Linked DNA regions of Neodiprion lecontei. The protein of the gene in region 2 interacts with the protein of the main gene of each other region in a pairwise test. Links are inferred from orthologs where the notes say so. Each region holds a gene or a part of one and is shown on either strand. Other genes may lie near its edges.

Evidence for each region.
Region 1: the proteins of ribosome biogenesis protein BRX1 homolog (region 2) and probable rRNA-processing protein EBP2 homolog interact in binary tests that used the Drosophila melanogaster proteins (3 or more experiments, as listed by UniProt). The link is inferred for Neodiprion lecontei from reciprocal best matches to the Drosophila melanogaster genes CG11583 and CG1542.

Annotation. Positions count from the first base shown.
Region 1 is NC_060263.1:31,077,531-31,081,650, reverse strand, and holds probable rRNA-processing protein EBP2 homolog, read right to left. Parts: upstream 2,521-4,120; 5' UTR 2,414-2,520; coding exon 2,333-2,413; intron 1,805-2,332; coding exon 1,007-1,804; 3' UTR 886-1,006; downstream 1-885. Other genes in the region: F-box only protein 42, read left to right, coding at 3,631-3,754, 3,854-4,120. UniProt on the Drosophila melanogaster protein: Required for the processing of the 27S pre-rRNA.
Region 2 is NC_060263.1:32,445,910-32,454,524, reverse strand, and holds ribosome biogenesis protein BRX1 homolog, read right to left. Parts: upstream 4,773-8,615; 5' UTR 4,630-4,772; coding exon 4,507-4,629; intron 3,886-4,506; coding exon 3,609-3,885; intron 3,418-3,608; coding exon 3,062-3,417; intron 2,979-3,061; coding exon 2,667-2,978; 3' UTR 2,605-2,666; downstream 1-2,604. Other genes in the region: choline transporter-like 1, read left to right, coding at 1-28, 179-400, 516-671; succinate--CoA ligase [ADP/GDP-forming] subunit alpha, mitochondrial, read left to right, coding at 5,682-5,718, 6,729-6,964, 7,211-7,432, 7,543-7,647, 7,781-7,984, 8,322-8,456. UniProt on the Drosophila melanogaster protein: Required for biogenesis of the 60S ribosomal subunit.

The sequences.
Region 1 (4,120 bases), about 1.4 Mb from region 2:
TTTTACAAGGGAGTGAATTTCGCTTGCCCTGATTTTGTACGTCTATAAAATATGGGCGCCAGCGTGATATCGAGATTTTAGTTGGTTTTTCGAATTCCAGACCAAGTATACGCTGATTGACTGATCACTCGTCAATACAAAATTATATACCGAGCATAATCGTGGCAACCAGTTACAATTTGCCATCTCACAAGCGAAATATTAACGCCCGATTGCCTATCTGTAGAAGCCGAGTGGCTTGTTTCCACGTTTAGGCCCGGTATACACAAATGTACAAAAATGTACCTGTAAACTCAGATTCCCGTGATTAAGTACGTATATAGTTCGTCTCATCAATTTTTTATGTGCACTTTTCCGGTAAATTTATAGAATTCGATGATAGTTCACGATGACATTCAAAATGTTGAAGTATAAAAGGATGTTGCTGATATGTTAATTCAAATAGAAAATGCAGAGAAAGTGGACAAACCAATTATTTTCCGTAATGAGAATCGTTTTTTATCCAATTTTAAATCATAAATTCAATGAAATAGAAACACGCGTTATAACAGAAAAAGATTGATAGGAAAATTGGTACTACGAATTCAAGAGAATATAAAACAGAATTGAAACATGCCGTGATAACCGATCCGACATTTCAGAATGTATCTTCACTGGCTCTATGAATGTTCGTAAATACTTTTCACATCGTCGGATACGAAAAATTTCAAGAAAATATTTAAAAATATTAACAGCTAGTTGCATTTTCAATTTTTCAACATTATAACACTGCAATACATCACTCTATATTCGGTAGTTTATTGTGACATAAATCGCGCAATATAAGATATAGCATAATAATGAAGGTTATAATTAGAAAAAATATTAGAACGAAAAGAGAGCTCCTATAGTTTCTTACAAAATTATTTTATCTATATATTTTAGTTACATATACAAAATATAGGTGATTTACAACATGATGTTGCACTCGATACGTTATTTACCAGTTACTGAAAAGCTGGCCGTTTCATTTTTTTTTCGACTTCATCTGAACACGACGATTTTTCCCGGGCCTCTGTTTACCGCTCCCAGCACCCTTTCCCTTTTTTGGTTTACCAGGTTTTCTCCACTCCGATACATCCGCAGCACTAGATTTGGAATTCTGTTTACTGCCACGTTTTTTGCCGCCAAAACCATACTTCGAATTCTTCATTTTCAATTTCGCTTGGGCCTTTTTATCCATATGTTGGACTCCAGCTTTTTTATTACTAGGCTTTTTCTTGTCATCCAAGAAATCCAAATCATTTCTTACACCTTTGCGATATTTCTTAACCTCATCAAGCATTTTCTTTTTCTCAGCGTGCTTTTTCAATTTTGCTTCAATTTGCATTTGTTTACCAACCTTTCGCTGTTGCCTTAATTGTCTAACTCTTTCCGATCTTTGTGCTTCTACCTGTTTTTTCATGAGATTTTCCCTAACTTTTTGCATGTGTTGATCAGACTTGGCCATCTCTGCAAAATAGTCATCCGGCCTCTTCGTCACTAGACCAAGCTTTTTTAATTTAGCAATACCCTCCATGACCGCACCCTGAGCTTGTCGGTGAAACATCATCTCTCTTTTGAAATCATTCAAGATCGGATCTTCCGAAGGTGAGAATTGTGGTAGTTTTTTGTTCCCTTGCAGCTGCTTTGCTCGGCGGACTTCTTGCTCTTGCATTTGTAGGGCCAATTCTGGCGCTAAAGGCGCAGGTGCGTTCACTATGTCCAACCTCTCAACCCATGGCAATATTATTTTGAACTCATTCAATTTTCGCTTAATGTCAACCTAAAAATAAAAAATGAAAACTTAAATTAGTCTCGTAGGACCTTCTCAAGTTAAATGGATAATATTGAACATCAATACTGACGGTCTCGTAGTTGTAAAAAATATCAGCAGGAAACTTTTATCCAACAACATAAGTTGACTTTAAATGTTCGAATTCAACGAAATGTGACTTCGATGAAGTGTGAGAATAAACAACCCATCAAGTCATGCGATGGTATATCAAGTTAGGTTAGGTTAGGTTAAGTGAGGTTATATTATGATTATACAGCACGGCAAATTCACCACTATGTTCTAGACACAAAAATGATCGAATATATTCATAAATCGAGCGAGGAATAGGTTGTACAGATGTACACAGTTTATTTAAAATAATATAGCATAGAGTATTTCCGGCTTTGCACCGATACCATGCTTCGTCGGCACGTTGGCACGATTAGTATCTTTCGTACTTCTAGAATTGGAAATACTTACACCACGCCGATTACATGGTGGGAGTCCATCAGAAAGTTGAAAAGTTTTTATACTCACATCAGTCGGCACCCGAACGTTGTTTTCGTCGTCATTACTTTCGCTTGAAGAATCTTCGAAATCGTTGGAATCTTCAATCATTGTTGCACACGCGATTAAATTTTTCGGCGCAAATGTATTTCAGATACGTCATACGAACATAGGTGACAGAACATTTAAGATGATCCACGCTTTCAAGTGTAAAAATCGTAGTTCATATGAACTTCTCTAGAGGGTATCATGCAAGGGAAATTCTTATCGAGTTGCTGTTCCTTAGTCTTCTTTGGATATTAAAAAATATTTCAAGGCAGAGTATTAGTTGGTTAACGACATGCATTTACCGTTGGATACGTCGAAAATTAGTTCCAGAAACATATTTCACGTTGCAGGAAGCAAGTTAATTGGAAACACGTAAAACACGTAAAATGTAGAGCTTGAAGCCTCCTCTCTGCCTAGTGCTGATATTCCTAGTAATTCAACTAGGGATGCGTTCCGAAATATATTTTCAGTACTGCAGATACTGACAACCGTGTTCCGAAATCGTGCGACAGCTTGGGTGCTTTCCATTTACTAACTCAAGTCGACTTGTGTCGCTATTTCTGGTGTATTCCTTTTCCCAGATTGGCCGGTTACACCAGAAATAGTGACACAAGTCGATTTGAGTCATTAAATGGAAAGCACCCCTTACTACCGCCCTCGACCTACCGCCAGTCAGTGACGTCTGACATTCGTGATGATGTGATTGCGACTACCGCGGTGTGGAAGGTTTGGGAACACTGAATAGTTTGGGACGTGAGCACTGATCACGCATAGGTATACCTATACTAACATACCTATTATATCATCAACGGACGTGGGCAGTTGAAAGATGGCCGGGCCTTCGATGGAGGGGGTACTTGAAACTGGAAGAAAAAACAGTACGCGGTTCGCGGTTCCGTCCTCTGGTTTGTAGTTGACTGCGTGACGTCACGTTAGGCAGTCCTGCAAGTATATTTTGGAACGCACCCTAGTACTAGCCACTGAGGGAGAACTATCCAAATGCATAAAAAAAATGTGAACTCAAATGTCGTAAAACGTATTTTGCGCGGTAATATGTGTAATGACTCGAAGACTAGGATCAAAGTTGTCAATAATTGCACACTTATATTAATTTTGCGAAAACATAATCATAATTTTTAGACAAGAACAATGGATTCTGTTGGTTACAAAGTTGGAAGGTTATGTGCAGACCGTGTAATCAAATATTCGTAAATTGTACAATTTTTAACTAGTATACGTTCGTAATCGTAGCATAAGCAAATGAATTACAAGCCTTAGACATGCTCTGTAAGATAGACGACCTACCTGACGAGATCCTCGAATACATATTGAGCTTGATACCCCCCTATAAAAATCTTCAAGAGTGCACTTTGGTTTCTAAACGATGGTATCGCGCTACTCGCAGTACGTTTATAAATTTATATTTCCTAACAATTCATTGGAATCGTGAATTTCATTTCTAATAATTTTTTTAACTCCACGTTAACAACAAGAATTTTTTAGATGTAATAGAACACAGTGAGGCACATTTCCACAAAGCAGTTGGCCTGGGCTCACTTTTTTGGAAAACATGGCCTGAAGCCGAGTGGGTACCGACAATCGGAAAACGTCATTCCCATTCGGCATGTACTTATGAAAATTCTATGTATGTGTTCGGTGGTTGTACAGCTACGTGTACCACTTTCAATGATCTATGGCGATTAGATTTGGACACACGAAAATGGGTTAGGCCTATCACTATGGGTAGCTATCCATCGCCTAAGGCATGCA
Region 2 (8,615 bases):
GACACATTTCTGCAATGCTGCTAGGATTGTAAGTGATAAGCTTATTCTGTGTTTTAAGTAGTAGAAATTAGGATGTGACGTAAGTAAAGTGGTATGATGTCATGCAATTCATACTCGACAAATGAGAGTTGTAACTCATATAATCAACTGAATCAACAGCAGTTTATTCTGATTACAGGCCTTTACAACGCTGGTCAGCAATGCTTTGCAGATAGCAGTAATAAACGGTATAGGAGATTTTATTCTCTTCTTGGGTAAATGTTTTGTAACTGCAGCTACTGGAAGTGTCGGATTGTTATTCCTAAGGCAGGATCCAACGTTACATTTTTATGCAGCACCAATATTTGTCATTTGCGTATTTGCGTTCTTCATTGCACACAGTGTCATCTCACTTTATGAGGTGAATTGAATTACACATAAGCATTGTTCCAATACTACGTATTCCGTATTTCTTCGGTAGATGATACTTCACAATAATTTTTTACTATTTACACGTTGTCTTCTCTCTTTTTCAGACTGTAATCGACACCTTATTTTTGTGCATTTGCGAAGACAAAAATCTACATGGAGAAAATGGTAAATGGCGACAATCTGCTCTGGCTAACGTAGGATCAGCTAATCCTAGCACCAACGGTCAACAGTCACTCGAGTTGTCTCCAATCAACCAATAAGTATTAAAAAGTCTTTTCTCGTCTGTTCTATTCTACTGTTTTATTAAGGTAGGTATTTACTTCCCCAATACGAGCTGAGATATACTATAGTTAAACAATATTCTTATTTATGTTTTTTGAGAATTTTATATCATTCTTTACGAATTTCATAAACAAACTTTGGTTACCTATTTTTCACGCAATTTACGGAACAGTTTTTTTTTTAAATACTTTTTATGAAACATTATCTATAGATATCATAAGCCTGGTTTAGTTATGAATATTACATATACGAATCAGTAGATACATTTGGAAATTCAATGCTGGCCATTCTCTGGCTAAGCATTTTTTTAACGTGAGTTACTTGCAAAAAAATAAATTTGCTCACTTTTTTCGAGCTTCTTAGCATTATAAATTTTCTGACTACATCTAACGTAAATATTATGAGAATAACGTATCATCGATATCATCAGTGCAATCATAGCATATACACATCTTTTTAGTAATTTTACAATCACGCACAGTTCACTTTAAGACAGTTTGAACTCTGGTTTTTTTCCATCCGTTAAAGTCTTTCTAATAATAAATACTTCCTCAATAATATTCAAATTTGCTATGCACATCAGTTATCTTGAATAACATAAAATTTTTGTCAAGTTTTACTTCACGTACCTTAAACGTTCAAAATATTAGAGCTAACAGGAAATATTGATTGTCGTAAATACAGCATATACTAGAATTACGAACACCGATTAGTGATAATAAAAATATAGTGATACACAAAAACATTGTGCACAATTTGTGAATAGAATTAACTGCATATAACATTATCCTGTTTAAGTGCCTCTAATTTCGCATGCATTCCAAAATATCTGGACACGATTTCGAATAGCTGATCGAGGCTTTCGAGAAAACAATCAATACTTTCACAATTGTGATATAGATGTTAACCATACCATCTACAGAAAAATATTGTCTATTGATAGAAGTACAAAATTCAACATATTTTTTTTTCTTCTCAAATTACATGATTCTCAAACGAAAATTAAATGAAAGACTTTTCCATATCATGACTCTCAATTTATTTCCTTAAAGAGACAACTATTCGGTGGTTCTTAACTCTTGTTAAATAATTCACAATTTTTTCTGTTCCTAAATATGTAACAAATAATCCAATGTTAATAATTTGCAAAAATCATTCATGTTGGTTAACATTTTGAAGATTAAGACTTTTATGAACAAGGTTGTATTTTCTATTTGTACCGTCCAGGAATATTGTACAACACACGTCTGAACCATTTACTCGCAGTTTCATTCAGATACATTGTCTACTGTCTAGATTAAATGGAATTACTTTGTACATACATACGTAGGTATAAGCAAACACGCTTTTCGCGATTTGTTATGATCATAAAATATATATTTGTGGTAATAGAATATTTTTTACAAGAACTGTTATTAAGTTTATCACACAAAATTTGTAGCAATTATACGATTGCGTTGATTATGAAGAAAGTTATTGGCTTACCATATGATAGTACTAATATTTCTATTTCGAATGATTTTGGCAGGCTGTTGTAGAAACGTACATAAGAAGAAATAATACATTTTGTCGGGAGAGATATATACATATATAGGCATGAATATATTTCTGCGTGTGATATTTAATAAATTGTTATAGGTTTTTTATAACGTTCTAATCCTCAATAAGATTTTTATGAAGAAAATAATGGATTTTGATACTTTTTAAGGCATCGTGAGCTATCCTATGGCATTTACTCACTGCTGTTTGAAGATGCTTCTAACTTTAATGTAATACCTGAATCTAAATTAAGGAACCAATATTATACACTGAAGTTTACATTTGAAAGTGAACATAATTTTAAATAAAACAACTACTAACATTCACACGAAGGATTTGGCATTCGTAATTGACAGTAATTGTATACGATAATATTTTATATGCATGTATTTTATTACAACAGAGTGCGTCAGAAGTTCGTACAATAAATTCGTTCAATTTTTAATTTTTTTGGCAACTATTGATTTTTTCTTCTTATTCTGCTTACCCACTAAATGCTTTTTCGGTTTTTTCTTAACGAACTTTACTCTGAGGGATTTTTTCTTTTCAACTTTGGCAGATTCGTCAATTCCTTGCTCTTGTAACTCTTCCATTTTTTCTGCCGCAGCCAGGGGATCCCCTTTGAATATCTCATCTAATGGGTTCAAAGCATAAGATTCCGCCGGCTTATTAGATTCTGCATTCAATTTCTGTTCTATCCTGTTCATGTATTTACCAGCTGCTTTTTTCGTCAATGACTGACGGTACTGAAAAAAAAAGATTAAAATATCACTGAATTAATAAGTCTCAAAAGCGTACTGTAACCCTGAGTTGTAAGTACTGAAAATACCTTAGCTGGAGAAATATAATACGGATTATTCCAAAGCGTTTCACCACCAAAACTGCTGGTAAAAATTTTCACAGGATTAAGAACAAATCTGGGGCCTATTTCAGCTAGTGCTCCATCCTCCGTTAAAATTTGGAAATTTCTAAACCATATTCGATTATCTAAAACACTAAATGTGTAAATATGGTCGAAAAACGGTTGACTTTTTGGATGGTGGTTTGGTACTCCAAATATTTGTGTCAATAATTCTTTCAGGACACCATACTGAGGTTTCTCATTGAAATTCTCATCAAAAGATAGCAATGGTCTTGACCCTTTGAGACAATTTCCAGTCATTTTCAACTCTGCCATTGTATAAACTAGAACCAAAAATATGTATTATTCAGGCAATTATTTTTATTCTTTCAAAGTTTTAGGTTGAGGAAATTCTTTTTTTAAAAAACAACCCACTGTTTAATAATAAATATTGAGATGGCAGCATTAGCTACTTCGAGCAAAAACATCAAAAATGTACGTCAAATTAATTGTACATAATTGGTTAAATACTTACCATTTTCAACAAGAAATTTCGCACATGGTCCAGTTGGAACATTAGACAACCACATGTACAGATCTCTTTTTTTTCGGCCCTCGAAAAGCATGGCTTTGTTGCAATTTTTCATTTCACACATCTCATTAATAACTTGCAAATTTTTGGATCGCTCCATTTTACTCTCTGGGCGATGGTGTGGCATAAGTCGTTTAATATCTTCCATTAGGTGACGATCTCTGTGGTTAATTCCCCGTGATGCGAATACTAGCACCCGTTGTTTGTTTATCCATCTCGTCTATCGAAACAAAAATGACTATTTAAAATAAATATTCTTCAAAGTATCTATTCACTCTAGAGTTAATCTTCACGAGGCACTCCAATTATTCCATAAGCCAAATGTTTATTTGTCCCGATTGTTTTGCAAAAAATTGAAATATCCAAAGTATTATTTCAGGCACGCTAAAGTTGTGTGGCAAAGGTTAGATTAAGTTCAGTTTCTGTTATACCGTTGCTAGAGTTTTAATAAATGATTATACTCTAGCACTGTCCAAAACTGAAACACACACACGAAAGATGCGAAGTATGTTGTCGGTGTCTGTCACCCTCAGTGAATGTTTTTAAACAAATCATACTCACGTAAAAAATGGTATGGCTTGAAAACTTGTTCGGACACTCTAATTCATTCCAAAAAATTCAAGAGATCCGAACATTTGGCATATTTGGAGTGTCCTGTGTAGGTTCACTTTGTAGTGCGAATAGACGCGGCGACTATTCTTTCCGTGAAAAAGGTGTAAATTAGCAATAAGGTGGACTGGGAATGGAGAATTTCTGTCTTGAGAGAAATGTGAGCTGCGTGATTGCAGTTTGTCTGTACACCTGTAATACAGTAACTGACGAGGTTAGAATATAAAATAACCTTTTTCGGCGCAGGTTCATCGGACGATCGTTTCGATGGCGGGAACTTCACCACTTCTTCGGTTTCAACATTTTTAGCCTTCTCACTCTCCTTACGCTTCCTTTTTACACTTTTCTTTACCATTTTTGCTATGAAACCAGTTCACTCAGGAAACCGTGTTACCAAAATGTGAGGTTAACACGTGCGGCACGCGGCGAGCCTTCACCACCAAAATATATTATAGGCATGTGTAACTGAACGTGCATCACCCATAGGCTTACAGAGAGATTGACCAGGAGCAGCCCTCTGACACTCACCACTGCTCGTATACTAAAAAAATTGTACGCGTCTTGTCCCCGTTTTTTAGTTCCTCTACGTGGCGCTAGTAGTAGACTTCTGACACGCTCGCTGCCCTCGCTGACCGCGCGCAAGCTCGTCAGGTAACTACTAGCGCCACTATTGGTGGAAATTAACAGCAGAATCGAGGAACATTTTGCGAACCCCTTTTAGCACCGTGTGTCAGGGGACCGACCAGGAGGTAGACTGCGGGTTTGCATATGGTTTGTGTGCCTATAGAATTGCGTGAACGGCTCCCACTGATAGACGCTACCGAATCGCTAACACGGCTTGTTGTGACTCTCAGCCGTGAAGTGCTAGCCATAAAAATTTGCGCCGAGGGATATAAGCCGTCTTTAAATCCTTCCGTCACCATTCAACGTCTTATCGTATGCATTAAAATTGTTCAATATTAATTATCGACGTCTGGTAGGATTAGAAGATCTGTTGCGGTTGTATCTCTGTGAATATGAGCAAAGTACGCTCATATCGTGCTATGAAAGTATAAAATTTTCATATTCGATACGCGCATGTGGTTCACCATTAAAAATCCAAAAACTGCTAAAATTGTGTTGGTTAAAACGACTAACTAGTACGTACTAGTATTATAGTTAGCCAATTTACCTATATATAGCTTATAGTTGGCGGATAAAGGCAGCGCCTCTACATCGTAGCAAGCAGCACTGCTTCGCGTTGAACGCTTTTAACCGTGTGTTGAGTCGCTTCATTCGGTTTGTTCACCAAGGATATATCATGGTAGTAGGAATCGTAGATATTAAGGAGTAGGCTGTCTGTCCCCGTCCATGGTGTCAAGTCCGTAGTTCGTTCTGAAATTAATTTTTCTCGACAAATTTATTAAAATGGCTGCGGCTGTTAGGAATCTATCAAAAATCACAGGTCGGTAATTTAAACATTGATACAATGAAAATATCACAAGTCGTACCGCAAGCAAAATGTATTCCGGAATAAATTAAGCCCCGTATATCGTTATGCAGTCGCACCTGCATAGACCCCGTTTTATTTTAACCCTACGAATGCTGTTCGCTCTTGACCCAGATGGCTCAAATCAAAAGAGACAATTGTCTCGTGTACATTATGTAATCTAACCCACATTTTTGCTTCTATCAAATTGCTCAATAATCCTTTCAATTGCTTGACAATCTCCTAAGATCGAATCACTAATTAATAAGTCAAGTGCCATTGGCAGATAAGTCAGATTCATGCTTTCGTGACCGGACTGTGGATAATTTCATGATATACATTAATCCTTTCGGTATTTCTTCCCTCAAGAGGTCGACATCCAATTACCCTATTAATACTTGTTTCGTCCTACTGCGTCCGTTGTATGCTTAACATGTCAACTTAAATAATGATAAATTTTCTGTAGAACGCAAAAAATTCATCATTTTAAGCAACAATTTGTAATGTTGTTTCATAGAGTGAACCAATAGTCATTTATTCTTGTGGTATAAGATACTGTTCATAGAAATAACAAATTCAAATATTTCTGATTCCCAGGAATGAGTATTTATATGACATTGATTTTATTGATACCATTGTAATTGCATCTAAGAATGTGTTAATCATTGTAATTAAACTACATGAAAAAAAAATTTCCATTTTATTTTACCTATTTTTAAACTTTATTATGTCTATCTATTCTATTCCGGCCTATAATCTTTGGAACAAGTATACTTGAATCGTGAGAAGCATAACCTTTAAGGTAGTTGAGTAAATTTCATTATCTTCTGTTTGCATTGACGGTGCTATTTGTGACATATGGCTCTTAGAATTAGAGCTTATTAGCGTTACAGAGAATTTGGATTAGATATTTCAAGGAATGGTCCAATATTGATACAGCATTGCATAGTAGAAATATAACTAATTTTGAATGATTTTTGCTTTAGTGGGAGGTCGAAGCAGCTTGCTCCGTGCCCAAGTAAGATTCAACTACACGGACACGAGGAAAAACCTGAAAATAAACTCAAATACCAAAGTCATATGCCAGGGATTTACAGGCAAACAAGGAACATTTCATTGTCAACAAGCACTTGATTATGGGACCAAAATTGTGGGTGGTGTCAATCCCAAAAAACCTGGAACAGAGCACTTGGGCAAGCCTGTATTTAAAACTGTCAAAGAGGTTCGTTCTATTTTTTTTTTTTTTTTTTTATTCCCACATCGATAAAAATATGGATAAACTCAAGCGACAATCTCAAGAATGAAACCTTTCAACACCAAAGTTCCTGTCTTAATTTTGAACATATTCTCATTCTATATATCCTAGCATACCCAGAGTGAGATTGAAAATCAAAAAATTCCCTTTGAAATTTGACATTTAATCTTGAAGCATGTTATTATATATTTATTTAGTTTATGTATTTTATAGGCCAAAGAAGCTACAGGCGCAACGGCTTCGGTGATTTATGTTCCACCACCCGGCGCAGCAGCAGCAGTTATGGAAGCCTTGGATGCAGAAATGCCTCTAATTGTCTGTATCACTGAAGGTGTGCCTCAGCACGATATGGTAAAAGTGAAGAGGCGTCTTCTTGAACAGAACAAGTCTCGCCTTATAGGACCCAACTGTCCAGGAATCATTGCTCCAGAACAGGTAAATTTTTATGTTTCTTTCATTATCTTCAGTGACAAATGTATTGCTCTAGTATCTTCATACGTAAAAACCGTAAAGAGCTTAATTACCTATTTCTTTTCCAATATCAGTGTAAAATTGGGATCATGCCTGGACATATCCATCAAAAAGGAAAGATTGGTATTGTCTCGAGATCCGGGACTCTGACTTACGAAGCTGTAAATCAGACAACTCTGGTGAGTCACATGAATCAAAAGTATTTTAGTAATTCTGCTTGAGAAAAAACGTACATGGTGACACATGAATAATTCTGAGATACTTTGGCCATAAATCAGGTTTTAATGAATCAATTTTCTTCGCATTATTAAGGCTGGGCTAGGGCAAACTCTGTGCGTTGGTATCGGCGGAGATCCCTTCAATGGTACAGACTTCATTGACTGTTTAGAAGTATTCTTACAAGATCCAGAATGCGAAGGCATAGTGATGATCGGAGAAATCGGGGGTAGCGCTGAAGAGTTGGCTGCTGAATACCTCATGGAACATAACACTGTCGGTTGCTGTTCTGAATTATTGGTATCCATGACCCGCCATTATGCCTAATCCATCCTTATCCTATTCCAGACCTAATCATGAAGTGATACCCATATATCCCGCATGGTTTTTTCTATAAGTTACGATCCTACCTTGCTGAATTCAAAAAGTTTTAAGATATGTTGATGCTGACTTTCCATACTTAATTGATTTATTTATTAAAGATTAGACTTTAGACAAAACAATGTTCACTAACGTTGCACTTTGCAATCAATACTTTTCACTTTTAGAACGGAAAAAAAGAATCTTACACCCTAATCGCAGCTAAATGTAGAGAATAATTTTTGTAATTTCATAGATTCAATTTGTTCCACTGTAGGGTGGAAAGGCTAAGCCGGTTGTATCTTTTATTGCCGGATTGACGGCTCCTCCTGGTCGTCGAATGGGTCATGCTGGTGCCATTATCTCAGGCGGTAAAGGTGGCGCTCAAGACAAAATTAACGCTCTTGAAAAGGTAATGTAGATTGTTTTAGTACATTTTCATTGCAATTGGTTTTGCTGAGATTATTCATTACACATGATTCCCAAGTACAGAATTAATCCTTAGGCCGCAGTATACTGACGAAACTATAGTCAAATAATATAAATGTGGGTTATTTGAATATACATTAAA